Linked DNA regions of Zea mays. The protein of the gene in region 1 interacts with the protein of each later gene in a pairwise test. Links are inferred from orthologs where the notes say so. Each region holds a gene or a part of one and is shown on either strand. Other genes may lie near its edges.

Evidence for each region.
Region 2: the proteins of Probable 3-hydroxyisobutyrate dehydrogenase-like 1, mitochondrial (region 1) and uncharacterized LOC100272864 interact in binary tests that used the Arabidopsis thaliana proteins (3 or more experiments, as listed by UniProt). The link is inferred for Zea mays from reciprocal best matches to the Arabidopsis thaliana genes AT4G29120 and RCAR3.
Region 3: the proteins of Probable 3-hydroxyisobutyrate dehydrogenase-like 1, mitochondrial (region 1) and AT-rich element binding factor 3 interact in binary tests that used the Arabidopsis thaliana proteins (3 or more experiments, as listed by UniProt). The link is inferred for Zea mays from reciprocal best matches to the Arabidopsis thaliana genes AT4G29120 and PYL6.

Annotation. Positions count from the first base shown.
Region 1 is NC_050098.1:204,470,613-204,474,181, forward strand, and holds Probable 3-hydroxyisobutyrate dehydrogenase-like 1, mitochondrial, read left to right. Parts: upstream 1-1,683; 5' UTR 1,684-1,742; coding exon 1,743-2,777; 3' UTR 2,778-3,005; downstream 3,006-3,569.
Region 2 is NC_050099.1:232,111,028-232,115,335, forward strand, and holds uncharacterized LOC100272864, read right to left. Parts: upstream 2,995-4,308; 5' UTR 2,877-2,994; coding exon 2,655-2,876; intron 1,228-2,654; coding exon 874-1,227; 3' UTR 459-873; coding exon of another isoform or gene 243-458; 3' UTR 8-242; downstream 1-7. UniProt on the Arabidopsis thaliana protein: Receptor for abscisic acid (ABA) required for ABA-mediated responses such as stomatal closure and germination inhibition.
Region 3 is NC_050103.1:176,436,186-176,440,605, reverse strand, and holds the start of AT-rich element binding factor 3, read left to right. Parts: upstream 1-1,426; 5' UTR 1,427-1,510; coding exon 1,511-1,517; intron 1,518-4,420. UniProt on the Arabidopsis thaliana protein: Receptor for abscisic acid (ABA) required for ABA-mediated responses such as stomatal closure and germination inhibition.

The sequences.
Region 1 (3,569 bases):
CAACTAAAGGTGTTTTGACAAGATAATTATTTATTGAATAATAAAGAAAATTTAACCCCTCCAATTATCTATAATTTCCTTGGTCTCAAAAGTATCTCTAAGTGCTAGTTTGGGAATTCTATTTTTTTCAATGAATTTCTATTTTTTCAATAGAAAATGAACTAATTTTATTTAGGAAAATAAAAATTATGTGGGAAAATAGGGTTCCAAATTAGCATAACGAAGAATTCACCAGAATAAGGTCCATTGTTATCTCTAGTCAGAGTGTCAGGTGCAGCCGTGCAGGTGCCAGGAAGCCCGCGGGTGCTTGGACCGGCCCGCATCGGCTGACCGAGACGCGAGACCGACGACCCGCTCTTGCGGACTGCGGACTCACCGAATCCCTTCCGTACCTCCCAACGGGGTTTCGCTTGTTTTGATCACAGCCTATGGGCTTGTGGTCGCTGACTCGCCGCCATCCCATGGCCATGTGGACACCAAAACCAACAACCGGACGAGGCTTTTGCCTTCGACTTTCCGTGGATGATCTGGAACAAGTAAGGCCGTCGTTTTCTTGTCTATCTGTTTTCTTGCTGCCGGTCTGCCTCTGTTTTTCAATTTTTCTCTGGACCGAACACACACAGTCCATGCGGCCATATCCGAACACACACAGTACTAGGAACAATTTTTTTATGTTGAGAAATTAGCTGGGAACATGTCATGCACAAATTTACTGCAAAAGTTGCGTATAGTTTTTTTTATTCTGAACAAAAGAGTTATGTGTATAAGTTACCTTATTTGTGGAAATTATGATATAAAAGCCATGCTAGAAGTAGTGATGGACGAAATTCATGGCTTCTCGGCTCGCTTGATTTATAGTCAGCTCGGTTTAGTTTGGATCGGCTCGTTTGATTTTTTTTCACGAGCTGAGCTAACATCCTAGCTCGGTTCGTTAACCTCGGTTTGTTAACGAGACAGCTCGCGAGCTAAAAGAGCTATCATATTTTAGTTAAACGAGCTACCATGGATATGAGGCCTGCCAACAAATAACAAAATCGTTTGAACCAAATCAGACTATACCAGCCACAAATAGTCATGGCAAAATGAACAGATCTGAATTAACAAATCGGTGCCACACTACCATCCCAGGATCACAACAGACCCACTTCTTTATAGACTCTAAGGTGCAAACTAACTGGTTGACACGAAAATGAAGTGGAGAATCGAGTAATCTAGGACATCCGGAGTAAACCAAGACTGCACCTTACCTCCACAGATCGGATAGACCAATTAGGTACAGAACAGTCAGGCACCAGTAAACCCGAATCGACCTAAATTACCTCGAGTGTCCATAGAAACCTCGAATTCGAAACACAAGACACTTCAAGGCATCTGATTCAATCCAATCAACACAAGATACCATGAGAAGGAACCAAAACGGTTTGAAGTAAAATAGAAATACCGATCAGCTAGCTGTAGCTCTAGCAAGCAGAGAAGAGCGGGAGAGGACTGCCGAGTTTGGTTGATGCAGATTGGCGATGGGCTACCATACGGCCCATGGATATAAAGCCCACTGGCTCCTTTTCAAGAGAGTGACCGATAGAAGCTAGAAAGGCTGGTTCAAAAAAAAAAGGAAAATGAGTGTACTCAGTACTCACCACCTCACGCCGCCTTATCTGCTACTGCGACGCGCCAGAAGAGGGCATTTGCGACAATTCACCTGCATACAGGGGCAGCATATCTAGCAGCTACTCCGCCCCCAAATGCTCGCCGGCATATCCCGTTTCCTCACTCGCCGCCGCCGCCCGCCCTTTCCGCTTGCCGCTACCGCCGCTGCAGCAGCCATGTCGTCGTCGTCGTCCACGGCAGCGAACATCTCCGAGCGTCCGATCTCTCCGGACACCACCCGCGTGGCCTGGGTGGGGACGGGCGTCATGGGCCAGTCAATGGCCGGCCACCTCCTCGCCGCCGGCTACGCTCTCACCGTATTCAACCGGACGGCATCCAAGACCCAGGGCCTCGTCTCCCGCGGCGCCAGCCTCGCGGACAGCCCGCGCGCGGCCGCCGCGGCTGCCGATGTCATCTTCCTCATGGTCGGCTTCCCCTCCGACGTCCGCTCCACCGCCCTCGATCCATCCACAGGCGCCCTCTCTGGCCTCACCCCAGGCGGTATCCTAGTCGACATGACCACCTCCGACCCCACCCTCGCCGCCGAGATAGCCGCGGCCGCGGCCGCCGCCGGCTGCTCGGCCGTCGACGCCCCCGTCTCCGGCGGTGACCGAGGGGCCCGCAACGCCACCCTCTCCATCTTCGCTGGCGGCGACGCCGCCGTCGTTGCTCGCCTGGCGCCGCTCTTCAAGCTCATGGGAAACGCGCTGTACATGGGCGGGCCCGGCGCGGGGCAGCGCGCGAAGCTGGGCAACCAGATCGCCATCGCATCCACCATGGTAGGGCTCGTGGAGGGCATGGTGTACGCGCACAAGGCCGGGCTGGACGTGGCCAAGTGGCTGGAGGCCATCTCCACCGGCGCAGCCGGGTCCAAGTCGCTGGAACTGTATGGGAAGCGGATCCTGGAGAGGGATATGGCGGCTGGCTTCTATGTCCGGCACTTCGTCAAGGACCTCGGTATCTGCCTGTTGGAATGCCAGGCCATGGGGCTGTCGCTGCCGGGGCTCGCCCTCGCGCAACAGCTGTACGTGTCGCTGATCGCGCACGGCGAGGGCGGGCTCGGTACACAGGCGCTTATACTGGCCGTCGAGCGGCTGAACAACACCAGCCTCGAGAAGAAGGACGAATGAAAGGCCCCAGGCTCTAGCTTTGATGAACTTGTGGGAAGCTTTGCTTGGTGCCTTGGTGCAAGTATGCAAGATCGAGGTGACTGTTAAGTTGTCTTTCAGAGTTCTACAGTTGTTCACTTTTGTAGTAGTATATATGTTATGCACTTGTGCAAAAAATTGTGCTGGCTTGGATGATTGCTTAGCTCTACCTGTTTACATCCGCCACCGGTTCAAATAAGATTTTACAAACAATGTGGCATTCCTTGCATAGTTGTATTGGTTTAGCTATGGTGGTTGACATAACAGATTTAGACATATATATACTCTATAATCTATATTCAGCATAGTTATTACAGAAACTTTTCATGGTACTCTGAACTCACCCTGGAATCCTTGATATAGAGTTTACTGAAACCTTGTTTTACGAGTACCTCGATAGTTTTTATGAGTACTCAAAGATTGAACCTTCCTCTGTCCTGTCCTGTCCTTACCAGTGATCTGAACCTTCTATCGATGATTGATCATCACGTGAGCTAAAGCATATCTAGCAAAAATTACTTGAGAATTCAAGTCCGATGAACTTGAACATCTGCAAAATTCAATTAAAAGAGTCCAAGTCAGATAATTTGCAATGTTTGGCCAGAGCCAGTTTGGCTCTCCTGGGTCCGCGGTGAAAACCTCAGCTTGCGCATGCAAACCTTGCCCGTTTCGGTGAGCCAATTTGTCTCACCTTGGTCAGTGAGGGAAAACTCAGTTGCACAAAAACTGAACAAGGCAAGGAGTCCAAACACATTTTTATCTTTCGTTTCTTGC
Region 2 (4,308 bases), on another chromosome or scaffold:
CACAGTTCTAAATTCTTTTTTTTTTCTTTCAATTTTCATCAAGCACATCATACTCTGCACTTCTCCCTCCGCGACATACAACGCCGGAGAAGAACAGAAAAACACAATCGCAAGGAGGGGGAAAAAGAACTTGACTTTGAACGCGGCATAGCAGTTTTCCAAGAACCTAGGGGCTCCATGCATTGGAGAACAGGTCTACGCGTACACAGAATGCAATGCAATATAATGGTCCGACTCATTATTCACCGGTCAAGGGGCTCCGTCTGGTCCATGATGACCTGGCCCTCGGACACCTCCGCGAGTGACCGGAGGTTGCACTTGAGCAGCGCCTCCACGAAGTAGCAGGTCTCGTCCTTGGTGTTGCCGTCGGGGACGTCGACGACGAAGGACTCGATGACGAGCGTCCCTGGCCGGCCGTCGATGACCTCCGGGTGGACGGTGAGGATGGAGGAGTAGTTCTGCGGGCAAAGGAAAAGGAAGGTGAGATGCAGCAGATCGATGAATTAGACTAGTCGTCAGCTTTCACACACGCTGGCGTTCTTGCAACCAACCCAAGGGGGTCAGGGCCGGATAAACTTATATCCAGGTGGCGTCCATCGTCCATTATCCAGGTGCAACGCATGTGAGTTGTGACCATGGGCCACTTGTTGCTATCGCTGGCTGATGACGAGTGAGGGCAAACGGACGGAGCACGACAAGCGACAGCGAGTGACAGGTGCTCATGCGATGAACTTGGCATGTAAGGTCAAAGGATGGCAAGTCAGTGCCATGCTTGGAGTTGAGAGCATGCAAACATCACCCGGTACATAACAACAACAACAACCGCTGCTTGTTTTCTGGTTAGATAGACGACAAGAGTTTGTTGGGGGGCTATCACTCGAGGATGGCATCGTCGCAGGGCAGCACATCAAGATGCATCTGGCAGAGGAACTCCAGGACGCATTTGAGGTGGTGGGCAAAATATCTCGCATGGGCAGCACAGAATATAGATAGATGAAGAACAGAGCATACCTGCAGCCTGTGATCGCCTCCAACGAACCTGACGCTGAGAATGCGCTCGTCGTCGTCTAACAGCTCGAGCCTCTCCGTGCTTCTTGTGGCCGGCAGCCCGGACTTGACGTTGACCTCCCTGACGCTACCGATCTCGATGTTCCCCTTCATCTCACACCGGCTCACGAAGGGCTTGAAGAGCTGTGGCTGGTCGAACCGCCTCACCAGGGACCAGACCTGAGAGACAAGACAATTACTCGATCATCAGGCACTTCAATGTATGGTTAAGCTTTAAGCAGGTGACCAAGATTGATTAATCCACACTTTCAATGTAACAGACGAAGGAATAAACAGGTCCCCGGTTGCTTGCTATTCAAGTAGTATTAAGTGTTCTGCATAAACACCCTAACCGACCGGCTAACTGCACAGCTCGACCAGGCTCAGCTGAACCATCGCCAGGAATTGTAACAGGAAAAATGGCATGAACGGTGTACTGTCTACAAGTCAACTAAACACGCTTGAGGAATATGACATCTCTTCTAATCAGAGGCACAGTACACAGTTATAAAATGAGGCCTAGAGCCCTTGAGGTTGCTAAGCATATTCACAAGCATCCTTTTGGAATATGCTGAAAACTTGGGCTGGAAAGTCAGCCAGAAACGATGGTTCCCTCTGAAACAGTAATCAATTCAGTGCATCGCATCGCATAATTATGCAAAAGCTAATGTGTTTTTTTTGGGTAAGATTACTAGTTTTGCATCTGATCTTGTGCTGAAGCTGAACCACGTCCAAAAGGAGTGGAGTCCAAGTGAAGTGAAGCGTATCTCCCTCCCTCCCACCACCACCACCGCCGTCTGACCGTCTCGATTACTAGATTACTTGCAGAATAAAGCGGCAACACTTCAAAGCCTAATAACGCGGGGGATACAGGCCAGCAAAACAATGCATGAGCAGCTAGATAGAAATCTCAAAGTAATTAATCTGGCGGAAAGCAGATTCAGCGAGCGGGCATCTCGCGAGGTGCGGGTGGGGGGGAAGCATCTTCCCACCCACGGTGAGACGAGGTTACAGTACTACAGAACGGCGAATTAAAAATCGTCGAGGCTTTTCTGTGTGTATCATTTGCCTTTGCAACCAATCATGCATCTCTCATGTTCATCTCGCGAGAGCTCAGAAAAAAATTCACAGGCGGTTTCTTGGCAGGAAATGCAAATCTTAGATTTCGGCTAAAGCGACGTGGGTCCTCCCAGCAATGGATCCGCCCGACCAATCGCGTGAAAAGAGAGAAAGGATGACGACGGGAGAGACGAGCAAGCAGAAGCAGAGCAGGGCCGGTTCAAGTTCAAGACGGCATCCAAATCGGGCATCCTTGTTTCCTAATCAAGGAGCCGCGCATCGGCACTCCAAAACCGGGGGCGCCGGGCGGCGGGACCCGGCCAGACAAAAGGAGAAATCGAGAAACCGATCGAAACGATGTCTCGGCGGCGGATCGACTGCGCGAGCGCGACACAACACCCTACATACTCTCGCCATGGAAACGTGGAAACGGCACGGCGGCGCGGAGAAAAAGCATAGCAGAGCAGGCAGTAGGCGAGGGATTGATATATCTGATTCAGCGGCGTGGAATGGAAGGAAGAGATTGAGAGAGAGAGGCAGGCGCTCACAAGGTGGACAGGCGCCTTGATGTGCTTGGCGACGGCGGAGGAGCACTGGTGGTCGCGGGGCTCGTGCCGGTGGAACCGCCGCACGTAGTCCGTCTCCATGGCGCGCAGGTCGCACCGCTCGTCCGCCAAGCGCCACCGCCGCGGCGGCGGCGGCGCCGGCGTCTGCGCTCCTCCTCCTCCTGCTGCTGCTACTCCCACGCCTCCGTCCATCTCCACCACCATCACCGCCGCCGCCGCAAAGCCAGACACAGCCACCACGCTCGCAGCCTCGCACAGGCACAGCCCGGTAATGGAGGCGGCAGGGGCTTGTGTTCCGCACCGAGGAAAAGCAGACGACGAGGTGCGGAGCGAGGAGGTGGGGTTTTGCCTTTGCCTTTGCCTTGCTTTGCTTGTTTTGTTTATGCCGCGGCGAGACCGCGAGGGCGATGGCGATGGCGAGGGCGAGAGGGAGAGAGTGACGACGACGACCCCTGGATGGCACAAAGGCCGCAGCCTCAGGTGTGGTTGTTATGCTATTGGGTGCCGCTTACAAGCAAGGGCCTACTAGAATTAGGAATGCCAGATATGCCCTCCGAGTTCGCCACTTTTGCTTCGGTTTGCTCGTGAAAACATGGATGGCCGGATGGCCCCATGGCGGACGGCATTATCTCGTTGCCTTTTTTTTGGTTTGGAGATAGGTGTAGACATGTTTTTTTTCTAAAACAAGGCCCCATGCACGTCGCATAATGGTGTTGTTAAGCTATCGGAGAGCAATGTACGAGCAACTCCAATAATAATTATCTAAATTTTAGCTTTATAAATCACATATTTAAGAAGTTGTTAAATAACTTTGGGAGTTAAAAAGTGTAAGTTCACCAATAGTTTTATATTTATAGTTTTGTTTTGTATCTATCCATATAAAAATAAGTCACAAATATCATCAATTACATTCATTATCTATATAATGCAGTCAACATTTTTTTACGGAGTTGCTAAATAGTTGCCAAATGTAGAGAGAAAATGAGGCTAGATGAGAAGTTGCTAAATTAAGTAAGTTTATTTAAAGAAATGTTGGAGATGAGTTCTTATGTTGACTACCTAAATTATTGATTTAGTAAGTCTTTTAAAGAACAACGGGAGTTGCTCTTAGAAGGGATAATAGTTTAGCAAGTTGCTATGAAGGTTGGTTCTAACTGCGCGATTTTATCGATTGCTGGTGTTGGTTGGTTACGTCGATCGGTCAGTACCAACCTCGTTGTGCTAGCGCCGAGTACCGATTGGTCTCATGGATAGTCGATCGGTTGGAGATACGAGAGCGATTATGATTTGTTGGTTCGGTCAATACCAGCCGTCTTTAGCGATGTTGGACGTTTTGATTAGTCCACATGTGTTACATCAGCTAGTCTTTTTTAAAGAGTTTGAAATACAATTTTTTAAAAAAAAATATATGGAATGTGGTCTATAAATGAAGGGATGTTTGGTTCATTCACACTCCCCACTCTCTATTTCTCTTCTATCACTCTGTATATCAGTCCTCTCACTCTCCTTTCACTTGACCAAACCACCCTTGCCATGTCTTCCTCGGGCTCGATGTGGCTCGATGTTGAGATGACCGAAGATGAGGTACTCAATATGTCGCATCAAACTATGATGGATGTAGCGGTGAAGATTGTAA
Region 3 (4,420 bases), on another chromosome or scaffold:
TCGTCTTCTGGGTGCTAGCCCGAGTCCGAGCCCTGGGGTCGGGCGGAGCGGAGTTCGTCGTCTTCCGGGTCTTAGCCCGAGTCCGAGCCCTGGGGTCGGGCGGAGCGGAGTTCGCCGTCTTCCGGGTCTTAGCCCGAGTCCGAGCCCTGGGGTCGGGCGGAGCGGAGTTCGCCGTCTTCCGGGTCTTAGCCCGAGTCCGAGCCCTGGGGTCAGGCGGAGCGGAGTTCGCCGTCTTCCGGGTCTTAGCCCGAGTCCGAGCCCTGGGGTCGGGCGGAGCGGAGTTCGCCGTCTTCCGGGTCTTAGCCCGAGTCCGAGCCCTGGGGTCGGGCGGAGCGGAGTTCGCCGTGGCGCCTTTGGCAAGGCCTGACTGCGTGTCAGACTCACTCTGTCGAGTGGCACTGCAGTCGGAGTGGCGCAGGCGGTGCTGTCCTTCTGTCAGACTGGCCAGTGGAGCAGTGGAGTGACGGCGGTCACTTCGGCTCTGCCGGGGGCGCGTGTCAGGATAGAGATGTCAGGCCGCCTTTGCGTTAAATGCCCCTGCAATTTGGTCAGTCGGTGCGGCGATTTAGTCGAGGTTGCTTCTGAGCGAAGCCAAGGCCTCGGGCAAGCCGGTGATGTGTCCGCCATAAAAAGGGGGCCTCGGGCGAGACAGAAGTCTCTCGAGGTCGGTTGCCTTTGGCCGAGGCTAGGCTCGGGTGAAGCGTGATCGAGTCACTCGTGTGGACTGATCCCTGACTTAATCGTACCCATCAGGCCTTTGCAGCTTTATGCTGATGGGGGTTACCAGCTGAGAATTAGGCGTCTTGAGGGTACCCCTAATTATGGTCCCCGACAAAACTAGGATAGTTATAAGTGACCCAATTATTCCTCTTCCCCTCTTCCTCCCTCCCTCTCTCTATCTCTCCCTCTCTTGGGTAACATGGATACCACATATTCCCTAAAATCATATTTAAGGTTTTAAACTTAAATGTGGTAATTGTTTCTACAAATGGTATTTAGTTTCATGTTTTGTTGTGTTTAGTAAATTGTAGAAGAACCAACATTAACTAGATTTTTTTCTACTATTGTGAAGGTCCCATAGAGTGGAATCAGTTTTTTAGAGAGACCATAGGCAGGGATAACTATCAAGCAACATGGAACAACTTGTTAATTTAAAGCCCAATAAAGCTTCATCCTTTGGTGGTCCCAATAAAAGGTGTGTGGTGGGTAGTGCCGCCCACGCGGATATGCTAATAACCCTCCTTGTACTCCAGAACCTGCCTTTCCACACATAATGAGCATACCTACAAGCCATATTCCCATCCACATTCATCCCCCAACACCCACTCGTCCACCCACCGTTTTCCTTGTCTTCACTTTCCTCACGCAATTCACCCACCCCCTCACCATTTCCCCCATCGACCATTGCTGCCACATACCAAACCCACTTCCTGTGGTCTTCGGTGTCTTCCCCGCCGCCGCCGCTGCCGTCGCCGTCGTGCATCACACTGTCCCTCTTGCTGTGATATCTATGAGAGGTATGGGACTATTGACACCCTTCAAATCGTATTGCTAGTAAATTCTTTGACAAGGATGTTGACTGCCAACTGTCACTTCTACCTCACCACCTATCTTGATGTTGCTATGATTGGGGACCATACCCCTAACCTCAATAGCCATCAGATCTATCTCCCCTATCCACCCAAAATCTAAAGCCACTACATCTAATCCCAAAACCTAACCACACTTGAGTGCTACATGTCAAGGATCACATTTTTTATAGAAAACAAGTGCCCTCTTATTTAACCTTTACCCCTATTTTTATGTACTGCATTTTGTTTTTTCTTATTTTTCTACAATTTTTATGGAATAGTGCTATGGTTGAAATTACAAATACTTGAATTAAGTACAATTTATATAGACATCTTATAATGGGACGTTGGACTACATTGTTACCACACACATCCATATGTTTCCAGTTTTTAGAATTTGAAGGGGCACCCCTGGTCCATTAAATTACTTATCATGACCAAGAAATGGTTCTAGTAAAGCATTATAGTTCAAACTTTCAAAAGAATCTCCCTCTAGTAGTATAGAATGATTACAAAGATATCAGATCATGACATTGTGCTAGAGGCCATAATTGCAGGTTAGCCAATCTTTCTTCTATTATGTATTGTGTTAGTGCTGACCAAGCTCCCAAACATGTCTTTGGTCATGGTCCATTCATTAGGAGTCATCCATGCCATCTTGCGAGTTCCTCTATTCTAGAGATGGCCTTGTATTGTTGCATGTGTCCCAAGGGGCACAATTGCTCCAACAGTTTGAATATAGATCACCATAGTTACTGCAAAGAGCTTAATTTCTTGCATAGAAAGAATTGAGTTATTTGAATTTCCACAAGCTTCATCTTATAAAAGAGCATAACATGTTCCTAACTGTGATTTTCTCTCTCTCATACATCCAGGTTCTTTCAATGGATACATACCCTTAAATAGAGCATATACTAGTTCATCTCTTCCTTATTAAAATAGATAATGGGATCAATTTGGATGACATCCTCCTAATTTATAACAAGATACTCTCTTGACATACCTTAAAAGTACATCTAAGTCTAGACCCATTCCACAACTCCACAATAGTAGCAATCTGCCCATGCATTAGTACAAAAGTAAGGGTCCCAAAAACTTATACCAAGGTTAGATGAGTCTAGCCAATAATTGTCTTCCCAAAATCTCATCCTTTTCCATTTCCAATCTTCTATTTGTACCCTATTTTAGCTACCTAGACATCCAAACAAAACCCTTCCAAAAGATGATAGTTGTTAGTATCTTTACATGTAAGGCATTAGGGATTGTAGTACTATATTTGAGGTCTATGATTTGTTTCCATAGTTGGTCATCTCCAAATCGTACCTTTTTACCCAAGAAGCTAATGGAATAATATTACGATGTCTCAAGTCAGGGACACCAAGCTGACCATACTCTTTTCTAAGATAAATAGTCATCCAGTTAACAAGATGGTAAACCCCATGACCTTCAAATTCAAACTACAACTAGTGATCCATGTAGGAATTGATAAGCTAAATTGTCCACTTGAGAAACTTGATGAAAGATCAAAGGTACATGGACCAGTATGCTAAGCATGTTTTCATCAAAATCAATCTCCTGCTATATGTGAGAGAAGTCACCTACCTCTCCACCTTGCAACCTTTTAATAATTTTGACATCAATTGGATGTATATATTCTCTCCGCCTCCATTTGCTTCTATTTTCACAGTCAATATTACTCATCAGATGGTGTAGTATGATATAAGCACCACAATCAAGACAATAGTATATATGGTGCTCTAAAGGCATTGTTTTTATCTTACTAGATGCATATGTAGTTATCAATCATTTATCTACCTAGCCATGTGATTAAATACCTCATGTATGCATAAAACATTATGCACTCATGAATATATTTTAAGCTCATATTTCATTAATATGTCACACATGGTAGTCATTGCTAGCTCCAAGTTGAAAACATTTCTCCTATTATTTTGATTAAATAGGAGGACATGGGCTACTAAAAATTATTTAAAAAACTAGAGCATAAAAGTGCATAGTTCAAGACACAAAAAAGTCAAAATGAAAACCTAAGGAATTACAAAAAGGCTTGTAGCCATAAATCGATACTTGGATTATAACGTGTTTTTGCTCTAAGAATAACTAGAGCAAACTCTTTCCTGAAAACTACCTTGCACTTTGGAATTGAAAGCACAATATTGTTGAAAATGTTGTCATTACGCATTATCCAAAATGGCCCAACACATCTCGATTAGAATCTCCATGAAGAAAGAAAGATGAAGTTGATCTCTAACACTTCCAAATAACCACTATTAGGGAGTATAAATAGATTCAGAGAAGACAAACAATCCAAAGCAAAAGGGTAGTCCAACATAAGGTGAAAAAGATCCACTTCAACATCTAGTGAGCAAATGATGCAATTGCAACAATCTAAATGCATGTTTTTATATTTAAGAAGCGCTATATTACTCAACTAATTTTTTAGAATAAGGCAAAAGAAGATTTTTTTTATTTTTTCAAGCAAACTTCCATGACCGCTTGAAGGCTTGATGAATGTGTTGATATCATATAAGCAATTTATAAACTGTTCTTGAGGAGAAAATTTGTGATCCCCAAATGTATCTCCAAATCATTGTCTATTTGTAGATGTACTATAAGGAGGGTAGTGGAGAAAACTTGAAATTATTTGTATACCTCAATAGATAGAGGTAAATAAGAGTGTAGTAAAGGAGTAGAAGTTGCCCCATGAAGAGAAATATTCCAATCTTTACAAAAATAGTAGAGTTCTAGAAAAGAGTGACTCCAATCATTGTCATCCCACATATCAAAGAAAAAACAAAATGCACTATCCTTTGAAGAGACAATTACTA